Arabidopsis thaliana: one gene and its partners. The protein of the gene in region 1 interacts with the protein of each later gene in a pairwise test. Each region holds a gene or a part of one and is shown on either strand. Other genes may lie near its edges.

Region 1 (5,658 bases):
GAGAAAACGAAGAGTTTATGAGAGATTTACTTACATCTTCACCAAAATCAAACCGGGTTTGAATCAAAATTCTGCTCTTTCTTATAAATAGTCTTTGTCTGGTCAAAATGATTGCATCGAAACGAATGAGTTTAAAACTCTTATCCAAACATTGCGACGATTCGGGTCACGTTTCTTAAAGTCGCAAATCCTTGCGAAGGTTTTTATAAACAAAAGGTTGGGTTTTGAAAGAAAGATATTGGAGAGGGTTTAAGAGCGAGATATTCGGAAATTGAGAGGTTTTGTTTCTTCGATTGTACGAAGAAGAAGAAGAAGAAGAGAGGAAGAGAGAAACAAATAAAACAGAACAAAGATCCTTTCCTTCTTCTTTTGTCTTTTTCTTCTCTCTTGTTTTTTTATTTATTAAAAAACTAATTTTGAAATAGTCAAACATTTGTTTGCACTTACTTAGTCAACATGAATATTCTAATCCCACTTTTATTTCAATAATCATATGTTGATTTGTCTTTCTTTAATGTATTTTTACTTTTCTTCTCTTGATTTGAGATAAACGACATTATACTACATCTTAATTTAAGAAAAATTGATCTTTCCCATTATTTTTTTTTGTTTTTCCACGTTTTGATTTGGTCATTGTTTGTTTTAGTTATTTGCCTATTGATAGATGAACAAATTCTAGTCTTTTTTGTGTGAGTCAATATCGATATATGTTACCCACCTATTCACTAAACAATTAGGAACAAGGTGATAACTCAGGGTACAAATGGACAAATTGTTTTTAAAAATTCCCTATTGTTTTTAATTTGGTTTAATGTCATCTAATTATTCATTTACACACTAACAGTAAATTTGAATATAAAAAAAAAATATTGTTTTCAGGTGGTGGGAACACGATTTTGTCAATTTCCCTTTTGAGCTCAATACATTACCTCACGTGTGCTAAAATGTCTTTACCCTTGTCACTAACGTAATTCACCAACAACAACAAAATCATCGGATTTAGTTATAAAGATGATATATATATATATATCAAAAACGGTATATATAAATAAATCTTCCCCAACTATTCATTCAAACCCTAGATTGCTCGCTAAACAACTTTCTGTTGTAACCAGTTTTGGGATTATACAAATAAGAAACTAAGAGAACCACAAAAGAGATCAAATATGAATTGATTAGAAGCCCCAAACAAAGAGTAGAAAGGTTTGAATATGCGATGATGGGATGTGACCAAATAACACATTTTCTCCGGTTAAGGGATTCAATGTCTGTATAGTACAGACATGTTGAATGATGATGATGGCATTTGTTGTTGGATTCCACATTCCAAATACTCTGATTCGCATTATACACAGACCTTTTTCTTTGTTTTCTCAAGTTTTTTCATTGGTCTCCATTGATTCCAAATATGCGGACCTTGTGCATGTGCGGGAATTTCGCAACCACCATGACAAATACAGCCAGTGTGTTGAGAAAGAGCATCGGGTGCTGATAGTCTGTTGTGTGAGAGGCTATCAAGTACCTACATACAAAGTTTGGTCAGACTTTTATGTCACAAAGATCCAATCATTGATTACATATTCGTCACACACAACACAATTGAGGTATTCCACTACACATAATCTAGTAGTGCTTCTTTTAAGAGAGATTCAGCAAACTCATAACAGACCTTATGTCTTGTACGAATGTCTAAATCTAAATCTAAATCCAAGGCTCTTGAGCACTAGCTAAAAGACCTTAATAATCAAGCGAGTTTAATCATAGTAGGAAACTTAGGTCCAACCCTAATCAGTGAACAGATTTGAAGCACTAGTCAACAAACAGAAATCAAAATGAGAAGAACGGTAGTGTCTTGACTCTTGTGTATCTGATTGTCATGTCAAAATGTATTCTGTGTAGTAATAATTGCAAATCAAATTGTCAAAACAACCACTTCACCTAGGAATAGAATTGTAATTAAGCTCATTGACTAGCATCTCTATATAACCAGATGTAAAATGAGCTACAATAAGATAAAGAACAAGTAGGTAGGGAAACGAAGATCAATGTATCTCTAAAACATAACTTAAGCAAAAATTACACCAAATACAGAAACAATCATAGAAAATAAGGTAAGGCATTCAATTTTTCGATACTGAACAAGATCAACAAGAGATGATGATGCAAAACAAAATCCTAATGAGATATGAGAGAAGGAACTTACAAGACAACAGGAACAACGGTGAGAAATTTGCGATTACGTGTAAGCTGCTTGCCATTATCAATCTGTTCCCACCAAGTCAATCTATTATAGACTCCTTGATCATCTCCAAATGGTGTTCCCTTCTTCCAATGGAAGGAATGATACGTGACCTAGAAAACAAAAAAACTCAAAAATTCAAATCTAGAAACCAACAATTTCGAAATTGGATCGGAGGAGATCGGGAATAATACGGTGAAATGAGCGAGATGAACAATGGTCCAAGCGATGCCAGGAGAACAATGGAAGACGGAGAGAACGAGGAGCCAAGAGAAGAAGAGGATGAGAATATAAGTAGTCCAAACACCAGGATATGTGAACCACTCTGTGTTCCGATTCACATCCGTCGTCGGAAGTGCTCTTACGTACATCGTCTTTTTCACCGGAGGGATTTGGAAGAAGATCGGAGATGATGATTGATGAATCGTCGTTGAGCAAGTTTTCTTTCTTCTTTGTTTTTTTTTTCTCTGCTGCGTTCTTTGGGCTCTTTCTGGGCTTTTTATTTTCTACAATTTTTTTAAAAAGAAGCATTAAATTAAAATAGGAAGGTGGTTGGGTGGCTCACCGATCTTAGCCTAAAACAATGATTATCAGTAACTCTGTCTCAAGACTCTCAACGCGTCACTCGATAAACCACGACGACTCATATTTTTAATTTATTGGACTTTTCTTGTCAGCTTACATAGAGGCCCATTACAAAACACACCGGTTTTCCGACCCGACCCGTACCTTTTCATCCGATAATTTAATTTACATTTTCAAAATATGTTCTGAAGTTAATTCTTGACCATATTAGTAAGAGTTATTTCATTTTATTTTTGAACAAATTTTAGCTGCCAAATTTCGAAATCCTTTTTTTTTTGCTACCAAATTTTCCATCCAGTGCTTCCGTGAAAAATATTTCGAATAAAATACCATTTTAAAAAACATCTTCGAATAAATATCTAAAATTATCAGTTTTTTGTTCTTCTCATATTTTCAACTTGATGAGGATTAGATTTAGATTCACCTAATGATTACAATAAACACGATTAAGCCTCGTTGGTTTTTTAAGACAAACTTACAATTTTTTTGTTTTTTCTTTTCTTCATCACACACTCTGTCTCACCAACTTATTCAATAAAAGCAATTGGACTTTTAACACAAAATATATTATTCAACGACAAAATGATTTCGTATTAATGCTATACTATCCAAGGTTCATTAAATTTGAACTAGCTATATCTTTTTATTAAACTTATAGAATTTAGATTCCACAATTTCTTGATTTCCATGCACAGAAAAAAAACTTTAAATAGATTACTATTCCCTCTAATTAAAATATAAGATGTTATAAAAGTTTATCTTTTAAATATTAAAAAATATTTTGTTAGTTTCTATGAAAATTAAATGTATTTGATAATTTGTGATCATTTATATTCTGCAGTTTTTTCTTATGATTAGTTAAAATTTTTAATTCTATAAATAATATTTTTTAGAAAGAATGATCTTAATATGTGTGATTGTTTTAAACATTTTATATTTTGAAACAAAGGAAATAACATCGTATTTCTGAGGATTTACATAATGTTTTTTTTTTGGTGCACCTAGCATAATGTTTTATTAGTAGAAATTATTCATAACCTGAAACATGTAATTGCATAAATGGCCTAAAGTCAGCTGAAATAAAATGAAAACAGAGGATACATAATTAGTAGAATAATCTCAAATATAAGAGAAAGTGCGTTAGTTGATAAAGACAGATAATTTGACTTTCCGATTTATTTGGCCGCCAACCTTTTTTTGTTTTGTTCTTCCTAAATTCCCTTTCTCCGAAATTCCTTTCATTGATTTCATCATCATCATCATCCTTCGTTTTTTCTCTATCGATCTAGCAGATTCTTTCGGGGACCAAAATCAAAATCATGGTGGATCATCAATGGAAGGATTTAATCGGATAAAAGAGAAGAGACGGAATCACGACGGGAGAAGAGATCGGGAAATCGGAAAATCGGAGATGATGGGGATTTCTTTCGCCGCCAAACTCCGTTTCCGATCTCGATTTCGAACTTCTTCAATCGATTCTTATTGCTTCGCTCGTGAGGCTTTCTCCGATTGTATCTCCTCCGTCCATTTCTTCTTCTTATAACCTTTTTCTTTGTAATAACCTCCGTCCTCTTCAGCTTTCTTTCTTTTCATCTTCAATCTCACCTTAAATTCTCCACTTTTTTCTTCTTCTCCTTCTGTTCTCGATTGCTTTGTTTGTTGTGTTGTGCATACATATATGGCTTCTGGTTCTGGATTTTTAGGTCAGATATCGTCCATGGAAGAGGCTGATTTTGCCGAGAAAGATCCTTCTGGCCGTTACATCAGGGTACGTCACTGTCTTCGTTGATTCATGTGTGAATTTGCATTCAATCTCGTTTGGTTGAGTGTTTTTTATTGTTGAATTATGAGGAAATTGATCAGAATTTGAGAATTTTGACCTAGTTTAATGAGTTCTCTTTGTAGTTCTACCTAATGAGGGCTGTTACTTTGATCGTATGGTGATGATTATTGGTTTATAGCAATGTGTGTTTTGTTCATTGTTACGTGTTTTCGACTTTTAAGCTATGTACAATTGTACATTTGGAACAATCAAGCTTAAGATCATGTTGTATTGCTGATTTTTTCGAGTTTGTATGGTGGAAAACATATAGTGATTGATCGATTCGTTTTTTTTTTGTTGTTGTTGTTTAGTATGATGATGTTCTGGGGAGAGGAGCTTTCAAGACTGTGTATGTTTTCTACACCCTATTATGCTTTTATGTTTTTAGTTGTAAAGGAAAGTGATTCTGATTTGTTTATTAACTCTTGTATAGATATAAGGCGTTTGACGAAGTAGACGGGATTGAAGTTGCTTGGAACCTAGTTAGCATTGAAGATGTAATGCAGATGCCTGGTCAACTTGAAAGGCTATATTCTGAAGTTCATCTACTAAAGGCTCTAAAACATGAAAACATCATCAAACTCTTTTACTCTTGGGTTGACGAAAAGAACAAGACTATTAACATGATCACTGAGCTTTTCACCTCTGGTAGTCTCAGGGTGTAAGTATCTCCCCCACTTCTCTTTTGTATTGATGATCCTTCATTCTTTTTTTTTTTCCTGTGCATCACATGGGTTGACACCATTTCATTTGATGTGAAGATATCGTAAGAAGCATAGGAAGGTTGATCCCAAGGCCATCAAGAACTGGGCAAGGCAGATTCTCAAAGGCCTGAACTATTTGCATTCTCAGAACCCTCCGGTAATTCACCGGGATCTGAAGTGTGACAATATATTTGTCAATGGAAATACTGGAGAGGTCAAAATCGGAGATCTCGGGCTCGCAACTGTACTGCAGCAGCCCACTGCTCGAAGTGTGATAGGTAATACACCATAAACCATTTTCCTTCCTA
Region 2 (5,658 bases), on another chromosome or scaffold:
AAGTCTATATTTCTTTTTCTCAAATTTGCAAAGCCTAAATTAGTGCAAAAGGTTGTATTATATCATCTAATGACGATAGAAATAGTTTTGCTGCGGTTTCTCTAAATCATGCAGAGCTAAACGATCTATAGTTTTAGTAGTTTGATGTTCCATTCTTGATCAACCTTAGCTTATTTGGACTACAAAAAAAAGCATGATATAAAATGGACATGTTGTCGAAGCCTACGGAGCCTAATTAAGATCTTGTTATATACGTGGACTTGGGTATTGGGTGTAGAATATCTAAAAGATAAGAAATATGAAAAATTTTACAGAGCAATTAAGCATTGCTTTGTTGAGCGGCTTATGATGCTGAAACATGTCATAGGGGGTCTTGGTTTCTTCGGAAAAGCAGTGAAAACAATCTTGATTGCACTTTTGATTATTGACTATTGACTCGTGCATGGTTTACCTCATTTGGTGTTTTTGAGCATGAAGAAGTTCTCAAGTTTCAACCTTTGGCTACACACAAAATTAATGCTAATAAGACCCATTTATCAGAGACTCTGTGCCGTATGGAGGTAAGCGTCTGGGTCAAGAACTATTCTATATGGGCTATATTCGGTTCATGTTAACTGAGAATTCGTATAACATATGGCCTTGTCGCCTACACTTTAGACTACTCTTAGTTTTGGTAGAGTAAGAGATGGAAAACCAAATATCATTAAGTACAAAAAGATAAACTGGTTGGTGCATTGGTGTTTAGAGATTCTTTTGAAAGGGTTCGTGTTGTAGTTAAGATGTAACCACTGGAAAAGTAAAGGCTAATAACTCCTTGAAGTTTTCAGATTCCTAAGAAAAAATTCTTGCTGTTATACAGTTAGTCATCAACCTAAAGCCATTTCTACTTTCTAGAGGATACAAGTAACAACTTCAAATCAGATTCTACGCCGTGTACTCAGACTCAGTGTAAGAAAACAAATATGAAACAAAATCAATGTATCAAAATATCACATTTGTGGATTCTGAAAATAGAAAAGAACAAAAAATAAATCCTCAAAACACTAATTCAGAAGAGAAGACTTTAGAGTCGATGGAAAAATTTGGAGAGAATAAAGAAACTTCTTGTCTCTCTAGTAACGACCAATACCCCAAACCCTGATAACTCCATCAGTGTATCCACTGAACAAAGTGTTTCCATCTGCACTCCAGTTCAAGCTTGTGCAGTAGATCACCTGCATTTTACATTCCACATTAGAACATATATAAACCACCTCAGACCAAAGAGTAACCAACAAATCAATATGGAATCACTTCAGACACTACAATCTAAGAAATCAGAGACTAGAGCTAACTTAAAACCAGGTTTCTCAATCTAATGTTAGCTACTCTCTTACGTACCAATCAAATCTTGTGAACTAACTTCACATGAGAGTATTCAGACCTTCCTTTATGAAAATCTCATCTTTTAAGGCAACGGCTAACTAATTCACAGAACTTAGAACTAGACAATTAACCATAAGATAGAGTGAGGAGAAATAGATACCTTGGTCTTGTTTCCGATTCCAGTAGAACCATCAGTCTTTTCAGCCTCAGCCTTAAGATCAACCTTCAAATCCTCAACAACAGACTTACTCTCGAGATCCCAAATCCTAATGCTATTCTCTGTTGCTGCACACAACCAGTACCTATTGGGACTGAAGCAAAGTGAATGAATAATAGAGCCAGCTTCAAGAGAATACAACTTCTTCCCTTCAGCCAAATCCCAAAGCAAGATCACACCATCTTTGCCACCACTGGCACACAACGAACCATCAGGTGACACAGCCACAGTGTTCAAGTAACCAGAGTGACCAGCAAGAGTGTTCCTAAGCTTACAATTCTGAAGATTCCAGACCTTCACAGTTTTATCCCAAGAAGCAGATACAATAGTTGGCACAAGAGTATTAGGACTAAACCTAACACAACTAACCCATTCCTTGTGACCATCAGCTTCAGAGATGGTATACTTACACTCACCAAGCGTGTTCCAAAGCTTAATCGTACGATCACGAGAAGCAGAGACGATCTGACGGTTATCGGTAGAGAAAGCAACAGAGAGAACATCTTTCGTGTGACCAACGAAACGACGAGTAGATTCTCCGGTAGCGAGATCCCAGAGACGAAGCTCACCGTCCCAAGATCCGGAGAGAGCGAATTGTCCATCGGAGGAGAGAACAACGTCTTGAACGAAGTGAGAGTGACCAGTCATCCTCCGCTGAGCAACACCGTATGACTTGTCTTCCTTTGTGAGTTTCCAGAGGATGATTGATTTGTCACGCGACGAAGTTACAATCACGTCGGAGTTATCGACCGGTGTAGCAATGGCGGTGACCATATCAGTGTGGGCACACATTGTGCCTTTCAACACGAGTCCTTCAGCCATGGTTCAGGGTTTGAGGTCGAGATTTAGGGTTTCGGCGACAAAAATGGGAGAGGGCAAAATGGAGGTAACGAGAAACCGAGAGTATTTATAGTTAGAGATAATTAGGGTTCTTTGTTTTCATTTGTCAATAGTTTGGGTCTCTTCATTTGGGCCAGCATTAAGGCCCGGTATTCTACCCAACTTGGTTTCATGTTGGGACAATTATGGAACCGAGATTTATATCTTTCTGTTTGGAACGCTTAACCAGAATTGGTATAGCTTGTTACAAGTCAATTTGATAACCACATGAGTACATGACATGACAACTTTTTTTTCTCTCTTTTGGGCAAACCCCATGAGAACTCTACCGAGAAGTTATTGTCAAAAATTGAAATAGACTCAAAAGTCGGTTCAATTAAAGTAAACAAACCGAGTTTGGCCATTTCAACTTTTATTGTAAGAACTAAGAACACAACTTCGACTGTCCCTGTGGAAGATATAATTTTACATGTCCGAATTCCGGAGAAGAAAAAGATGAAGTGATTGATTAAATTGAAATCGATCACATCAACCATCTCTTTCTCTCGCCTGCAAAGTTATCTCCTTTTCAAACCGAACGAATCAATTCGGGAATCTTCATCTTTCTACGTGTTTTCTCAGCTATGTATCTCTGGGTTCGACTTCAGTAAAAGCTTCACCAGCCATGGATTTCGTTAGGTTCTTGTTCGCTTCATCTTTCTTTGTAATTGCTTACTGTTTTCGTGAAAATTCGAAATTTAGTGTTTTGCGTTCTCTATCTCTCTCTCTCTAGCACACTAATTCCAATTCCTTAGGAAGGGTTTTTGGTGAATAAAGTTAGGGTTTTTAATTGATTCAATACCTTGTGGAATAAATTAGGGGTTTTTGGAGGAAGCATAGAAGGAAGGTCTTGGTGACGGCTGGTTGTTTGGGAAGTGGGTATTTACTCTACAAACTATACAATTCCCATACTCGTAGGCTTGCTGATTTGGAACGAGAACTCGCTCACGAGCGTGAAAATGACGAAATCATCAAAACCCAGTTAAGTTCTGTGCTCATAAAAACTGATCCTTTAGACTTCAGTTCTTATGGATTCTCTAACGGACCTGTCTTGTTTGTACTCTTGTTTAGAATGAAAGCACATTTCGAGAGTATTCAGATGATTGTGGATTCGACCACACTGCCTCACGCAATGCAGTTTTTGAGTATCCGTATCAGCGAGGAGATCGATGTCTCTCATGTTATGGACAGACTGAACCAAGGGAAAGGAATGCTGAGTCCACCTGAGAAACTTCAGCTCTGGGATGAGCTCAAGATTTTGAGTATGCACTGCAGTCACCTACTCTTACTCTATCAAATTCTGTTTCTTACCTGTATATTCATGTTATTTGCCAGGTTTCACGAGGATGGTTTTGTCTCTGTGGTCTGTGACAATGCTTAGCTTATACATTAGGGTTCAAGTCAACATTTTAGGCAGACATTTGTATGTTGACACCGCTCGAGCTCTTGGCAGCTCTCATTTACTTGTAAGATAATATGCTTCCCCTCTTCTCTGTATTGGAGAATTTGCTGTTTATTAAACGATACTGCACATGTTCTTTACTGCTCTCATTTGCTCGCAAGTATGATTCAGTGTACTTTGCTTATCTCATCCCCAACAAGCTATTTCTCGGGGAAACTCACTGGTTGTTCTGTTAAGAACTTGTATAATTATGTCTCTAGTAGCTGTGTTTAATTGCGATAACGATTATGCATTTGACCTATCTGTGGACTAATACTCTGGAATCACCTATCTTTCTTTGATATAGTTCCAGATTACCTTTTAAAGCCACGGCCGCTTGTCCTGTGATCTGCTTGCCCTGTGAGCTTTCAACAGTGTATCTATTAAATTTGTTTCTTTTTGTTTGCAGGAAGAGGTAGATCTCATTGATAGAGATGATGAACAGAAGTTTTTGTCGAGTGCTGATTTTCTTGTCACCAATGCAATGCCAAGTTTGATTTCAGATATGCAGGGTTCAGCCGAGGAAGTCCTTAAAGGGTACATTGCAAAAATTCGTATCTAGATCGTTTATAATTTGACTATTGTTGGAAAAACTCTAATATGTTTTTGTGTGTTTAATTGCAGAAAGCAGTTAAAGGATGTAATTACCACAAGAGTTCTTCAAGAAACCGTGATGCAGATTGTAGATGTGTTTATGAGCACTGGAAGCCCACATCACTGGGTTGATTATTTAATGATGCCTCAAGACACAAAGCTTTCAAGAACCACAAGTGACTCTTCTGATGAAGCTGTGTCCAAGTTTCATCAACTCATGGTTGAGACTCGAGAAGTACTCATCAGGTAAGTAATGTCTATCTGCTAAGATAAACACACAATTTTTCCTCTTTCTTACACTCTTGGATGATTGTGGGGAATAAACTTATCTCTTGGTGTCTTTCTTGTTGCAGCACTGAATTCACAAATATAGTCGAAATTTCGCTCAAGTGCTTCACGGATGTGTTGGTAGAGGAAATGGAAACGCAGACTGAAGCAGGCGGTTTGGCTACAGGGAAACCATTGGCAAAGGTCTTACCACAGATTGAGAAGACAATGAATGTGATTACAGCTGAACCAAGCAAGAACCGGTTCTTACAAATCATCAGAGATCTGCCTGAAGTTAAACTCTTTTTTACTCTTTTATACGCTAATATGCCGCAATAGCAACTTTTGTTTGTTCTCTTAGAAATTCCCCAAAGTGTTTTGCTATTTGCTTTCTTTGTAGGGGGGTCTTTTAGCTTGAAAGAAATGCAGGAATTTTCGTGTTTTGAGCTTGTAGAACCAAAGTTGATTTCATTTATTTGTTTTGATTAGAAAAGAAGAGCATTTGTTTAATAGGACACTTGGAACTTTGATTAGAAAATAAGTAAAGCAACTTGCATTTAAAGTGTCCACGATCCCTCCACTGCGTTCGTGCCTTGCACACAAGTCAACGGAACAAAGGTTGACTTTTCCAATCTATAGCTGCTACAAGCGCAAGATTTTATACACATCCGTAATTAATGAGATTACCGGAGAACAAAAGTGTAAGAGTTATCGCAGGTTGTCGGATAAAATGTATATTCAGATGACAGATGGAGTTCCTCCGCCACCAGAGCAAAGTTCGTTAGACCACCGGGTTGGTCAGATCACCCTTTCATTCATTACCCATTTGTATTAATCTCATCGGCTTTACTTACGAAGACTAGTCTTGGTTTTCCATTTTTGATTACACATAGAT
Region 3 (5,658 bases), on another chromosome or scaffold:
TCAAATCAATCGTTTTTTTTTCCTGATTTACTTTGTGTTTAAATTTTACTTTTACTTAAGTTACATTTTCTTAATGCTTAGTTTAATTTTCTAAAAGGGAAAAACTATGATTTATACGCGGATACGAGGGAGTGGGATGCATTAAACAAAATTCAAATTTGACGTCAATTAAGCAAATTAAAACAATAATCTGTTTCACCTTTTTGTGACAAGTGGACGTCTTCTTTCTCATCCAAGTTAGCCATCTATTTCTCCTAAACACATTGTTAATTAGTTTCATTATTAGTGACGAAATCAAGACGCCGTAACCGATAATTCTAACATAATCCCTTTTATAATAAGAAGGATACAATTTCAAAGAACATACTAATATTTACAATATTATTTAAGATTGTATTATTGAACAAGTTGTCATTCCTGTGTTTGGTCAACTATGGCCTTTGGGATACTCAGAAGGATTCCATACCCAATTATTTAATTCGATACCCTTCTTCTACATGATTCAATCAATCCTTTTAAAAAATTGAATCTGTATTTTTTTTCTTCCTTCGTCACCTGCTGGAATATTAATATCATATAATTAGTAATAAATCATTAAGTTTTGTCAATGTTACACATTTAGACCCTACAACTTTATTTAATTTTATCTATCAAGCTAACAAAATAAGGTACTAACCAGTTAATGAAATTAAAATTGAGGATATACATATAGTTTAGTAAAAAACTTTGATCGATACCTTATCTGAATTGAAACTATTCTGATCTATCCTAACAATATTAAAAATGGTTTACATGCGCTATCATCATTTTTTCTACTAAAGGATTTAACGCTTATTGTAAAGGCCTTTTTTTTTTTTTTACTCTGATGGTTTGTCAGAAGATTATTCGTTAATGAATTATACGTTTGTTATAAACTGTAAATCTTCATTTTGAATGTAAAACTCAAAAATTAAAATTGAAGCAAAAGGTAGTTTCCTTGTTCGTGCTAACTGCTAATGTCGATTAAGATTCATCCTCTTGAAATGACCGAGTCAACGCTGAGGGAGAATCTCACGTGGTCCTACCAACTATCACGTGCCAAAAATCTGGGCCCTGAGATATACCTATAAGCAAAAGCCAGCTCCGCCCAAAACATTTGATCCATCCATTTTCATTTTTATTTTCCAATTTTGAAGTTAGGGTTTATTTTTATAAGTTTCCATTAATTTATTTTCTTATTCCTTTTCGGAGGATGTGTTTATTAATTTAATTTCAATAGAAGATAATATATTTGGGTTCACCACTCGTTCTCTTTTTCTTTTTGGATGGGACTCTTCATTGTGACTTTTTTGTTCTCGCTCTTCCACAATCTTTGGATGTGTACAAAATAATCGATTGTTGGGGATATTATAGTAAATTTAGCAATATGAAACTAGCAACGAAGAAAGTGTTTATTGATGGGTTCAAAATTTCATCGATCTGCATATCAATAACTCGGAAAGAGATGGATCATGACACATAGTATACAATAAATTTTATAAATTTCGAAAATTAACTAATTGAGGATAGAAATTCATCAATTACTTAATAAATAAATAAAAAACTGATTCAAATGTATGTTTTACTTCTGTAACATACAATTTCTTGCTTTTCTTGAAAATTGACTCGTTTTTTATATTGGATATTTTACATAGACTTTGAGACTTATTAATAAAACTAACTAACCATCTCTTACAAATTGTTGGAATAAATTATTTTTATTTTTCTGTTGGCTCTATAAAATGAAAATGACCTTTGTTCTTCTTCTTTATACTCCTATATATGTTTTCTCCAGAGAGAAAGAGAACCATTGAAGTTGCGAGACTTCCAATTATATATATAGTTCATGAAAGTCCTGTGACCATGCTCTTTATTTATTTTATTTCACTATACGTTAAATAAATGGAAAGTAGGGTAATAATCATATTGCAGCATGATTCATTTTAGTGGCGTCTAAGAAGCATTCATTTTGAGCCATTAAATCTCAAGGTAGACTTTCCCATTAACACAAAAGAAGAAAAAATTGGTACGTAATCATACCAACATCTACAAATCTTTGGTTTCAATTTTGTAACAAAGACCTAGATTGTTGACAAACAAAAAGCAAATACCTAAAAGGACTTTTATTGACTTCTATAAAGATGTTTTGATTGAAATTTCATATAATTTAATAGTTTCCTCAAACTATATGCAATAAAATTATAATTTGATAATTACATGTGAAAGAAAACATGACTCTCAAATTAATATGAGTCGATTATCAATAAATTTTTGTGATATGGCTGTGCTGCAGAACAACTGAATGGGCCTAGAAGTAAAGTTGATATTGAGCAAACAAAAAACGAAATAGATTTTTTTTTTCTTTTGGGCAAACTCAAAAAACGAAATAGATATGCCTCGACAATACTACAAAATCTCAAATGAACAATATTGATGAAAATGCGTTTGTAACACAGAAATCAATTATTTTGAATTATTTTCCATATATAGTACAGACGTAAAAAACATACTGTATTATCTTTCATGGAAGTAAAATAATTTTCCAAGAAATAGAACAAATGTAAAACAGGTGGTGGCTAAAACTGGTGCTTTTAATGGCTAATGCCATTGAATCACTGACAAAATGACCGATGACTTCAACTTAAAAGTTCAAGCCCACAGTTCCAAAGGTAGAGGAAGTGGTAAAATTTAGGTATGGTCTCTTTCTCTCTCTCTCAATTTTCTCTTTCTACAAATATATACTACAGTTACAGTAGTAGTTATTATTATTAATTATTCTCTCCCCAATCAAACAACACTCATCAGAGTCACACATGTGTCACTTTTTTCTTCAATATTTTAGTTTTATGAATAAAAAATCAAAATAAAACAATAAAAACTTTTTTAACTTGGCTAGTTTCCCAGTATAAATAGATGTATCAACGAACACATTTAAGACCACAAAAGAAACCAAGAGCTCTCAAACAAAACAGCCTTTTACATAAGAACAAACACCCCCAAAAACTGCAAAAAAAAGAGAGAGATCATTAATCCATCTTCAAGATGTCTCTTCCTGAAACTAAATCTGATGATATCCTTCTTGATGCTTGGGACTTCCAAGGCCGTCCCGCCGATCGCTCAAAAACCGGCGGCTGGGCCAGCGCCGCCATGATTCTTTGTAAGTATAATCACATAATAAAAGTTCTAGAGAAAAGCTACCAACAATATACATGCTGAAGACAAGAATTGAAACTTTTTAATGGCATTTACTAAGTTATAAGTTTCTTATGGCTATCATTCTTATTCTTTTATGTATTCTCGATGTATCCAACTTTATCATTAACAAAATTTTATTGTGTGAAGGTATTGAGGCCGTGGAGAGGCTGACGACGTTAGGTATCGGAGTTAATCTGGTGACGTATTTGACGGGAACTATGCATTTAGGCAATGCAACTGCGGCTAACACCGTTACCAATTTCCTCGGAACTTCTTTCATGCTCTGTCTCCTCGGTGGCTTCATCGCCGATACCTTTCTCGGCAGGTTTGTCTATAAATATATTTATATTTACTTAACTAAAATCATTCAGATTCTTTTTAAAATATTAATTTGAGTTCATTCATTTTGTTTTGTATAGGTACCTAACGATTGCTATATTCGCCGCAATCCAAGCCACGGTAAGGACCTCAAAAGTCCCTTTCTCCTTACCAAAACTTATACCCAAGAAAACGAAGAAAATAAAAATATTGTCTAGTCAATAAACAAATCGAAATAGTAAACAGCATAAGTCGTTATTTTTGTTATAGTTTTCCGAAAAATAATATCCGTGTTATGAACTATGATGCTATCAGGGTGTTTCAATCTTAACTCTATCAACAATCATACCGGGACTTCGACCACCAAGATGCAATCCAACAACGTCGTCTCACTGCGAACAAGCAAGTGGAATACAACTGACGGTCCTATACTTAGCCTTATACCTCACCGCTCTAGGAACGGGAGGCGTGAAGGCTAGTGTCTCGGGTTTCGGGTCGGACCAATTCGATGAGACCGAACCAAAAGAACGATCGAAAATGACATATTTCTTCAACCGTTTCTTCTTTTGTATCAACGTTGGCTCTCTTTTAGCTGTGACGGTCCTTGTCTACGTACAAGACGATGTTGGACGCAAATGGGGCTATGGAATTTGCGCGTTTGCGATCGTGCTTGCACTCAGCGTTTTCTTGGCCGGAACAAACCGCTACCGTTTCAAGAAGTTGATCGGTAGCCCGATGACGCAGGTTGCTGCGGTTATCGTGGCGGCGTGGAGGAATAGGAAGCTCGAGCTGCCGGCAGATCCGTCCTATCTCTACGATGTGGATGATATTATTGCGGCGGAAGGTTCGATGAAGGGTAAACAAAAGCTGCCACACACTGAACAATTCCGGTACGATTCTTTTAATTAACTCATCATTTGCTTTCCACGTACGATCCTCAAAACTTACAATGATTTAAATTTTAAGATAAAAGTTTTAAAATTTTTCTTTTTCTTTTCCATTTAAGGGTTAATTGAAATAATTGAGGTACTGGTTCCCTTAATTAAATGTGATAGTATCAGTAGACTTTAAAAATGTGAAATTAAAAGTGGGGTTGTGTGGGTGAGAAATAACTCGAAATGCTCGTGTCCTTTAATTATAGTGGGACCGTAAATATTTCTCATTATATGCCTACTTGGCATTAGAAATCATTTTTTTTTGACAGCCATTATAAATTAATTAAAAGGTGTTGAATATCTTTCTTTGTCTTTTGTTACGGGGAAAATAAATTATTTTCATAATATTATTACTCGACCATACAGCGAAACTGGTCCAGGATACGAATTATACAGCTAATTACAACATTTTTGGATTTTTGGGTTCAAAGTCCCTACTTTGGCATTTTATATTGTATATTTTTTCCTTAAAATCCTATGTGTGTGTGCATGTGTATATCTTTGTTAGATAACACGTTAAGTTCGGTTCATAGAATAGGTAGGAAAATAAAAGTAGTCTCTCGGAATTAGTCGGAAAGATAAAGTAATTCAGATAAACAAATGAATAAGTATATGCAAGTGATATCAAGTGGGGTAAAATTCTCCATCTTTACTTTTTGCCTATAAAAAATTTCACACCCACTCGTAGAATATTTGGTTTTTACAGAAAGAGTATCTTCATCATTGCGGAAAATTAAATACACCAATTTGCTATTTTATCTTTATTATAGTATTATAATTATGATTATGATTCTAATGCCTTATAACTTTAAATACACATACACTGACACACATATATCTATATTTATATTCCCCTGACTCGTGAGTTTTCCCCCTTTAAGTACGGTATCTTTTATTTTTGCTAACTTAAGTACAGTATCTTTTATCCATCAATCCCTATGCATACCTACATAGAAATAAAAGAATCCAAAGGAATCAATTTTTCTTTATACCAGATAATTTATGGAAAATCTATTTAGCATCTCTAGATATTGGAATCCCTTTCTCGGAAATAAAACTAATAAAGAAGAAGAGACGAGAAGTTAGGGTAGGGAGGCAGGTGTTTTGTCTGTAGTGAAAACGATCAAATATCGTGTCGTAGCACCTCCACTACTTTACACCTTCACCGGGACAGACCCAAAGTTAGGCATAA

What was found.
Region 2: the proteins of WNK8 (region 1) and RACK1B_AT interact in a two-hybrid assay, tested with the Arabidopsis thaliana proteins (one large-scale study listed by BioGRID).
Region 3: the proteins of WNK8 (region 1) and NRT1.1 interact in a protein complementation assay, tested with the Arabidopsis thaliana proteins (one large-scale study listed by BioGRID).

Annotation. Positions count from the first base shown.
Region 1 is NC_003076.8:16,796,407-16,802,064, reverse strand, and holds the start of WNK8 (with no lysine (K) kinase 8), read left to right. Parts: upstream 1-4,058; 5' UTR 4,059-4,502; coding exon 4,503-4,592; intron 4,593-4,957; coding exon 4,958-4,995; intron 4,996-5,079; coding exon 5,080-5,307; intron 5,308-5,407; coding exon 5,408-5,628; intron 5,629-5,658. Other genes in the region: AT5G42000 (ORMDL family protein), read right to left, coding at 1,384-1,522, 2,204-2,352, 2,434-2,610. UniProt on the Arabidopsis thaliana protein: Regulates flowering time by modulating the photoperiod pathway. Phosphorylates the vacuolar ATPase subunit C (VATC) and RGS1. Regulates EDM2 that, in turn, modulates development processes.
Region 2 is NC_003070.9:17,980,865-17,986,522, forward strand, and holds RACK1B_AT (receptor for activated C kinase 1B), read right to left. Parts: upstream 2,514-5,658; 5' UTR 2,405-2,513; coding exon 1,526-2,404; intron 1,215-1,525; coding exon 1,113-1,214; 3' UTR 772-1,112; downstream 1-771. Other genes in the region: PEX3 (peroxin 3), read left to right, coding at 3,087-3,100, 3,281-3,442, 3,533-3,723, 3,797-3,927, 4,035-4,105, 4,210-4,246, 4,312-4,439, 4,527-4,742 and 1 more; AT1G48640 (Transmembrane amino acid transporter family protein), read left to right, coding at 5,494-5,556, 5,657-5,658.
Region 3 is NC_003070.9:4,102,281-4,107,938, forward strand, and holds the start of NRT1.1 (nitrate transporter 1.1), read left to right. Parts: upstream 1-2,942; 5' UTR 2,943-3,060; coding exon 3,061-3,175; intron 3,176-3,360; coding exon 3,361-3,538; intron 3,539-3,632; coding exon 3,633-3,672; intron 3,673-3,846; coding exon 3,847-4,421; intron 4,422-5,658. UniProt on the Arabidopsis thaliana protein: Dual affinity nitrate transporter. Involved in proton-dependent nitrate uptake and in the regulation of the nitrate transporter NRT2.1.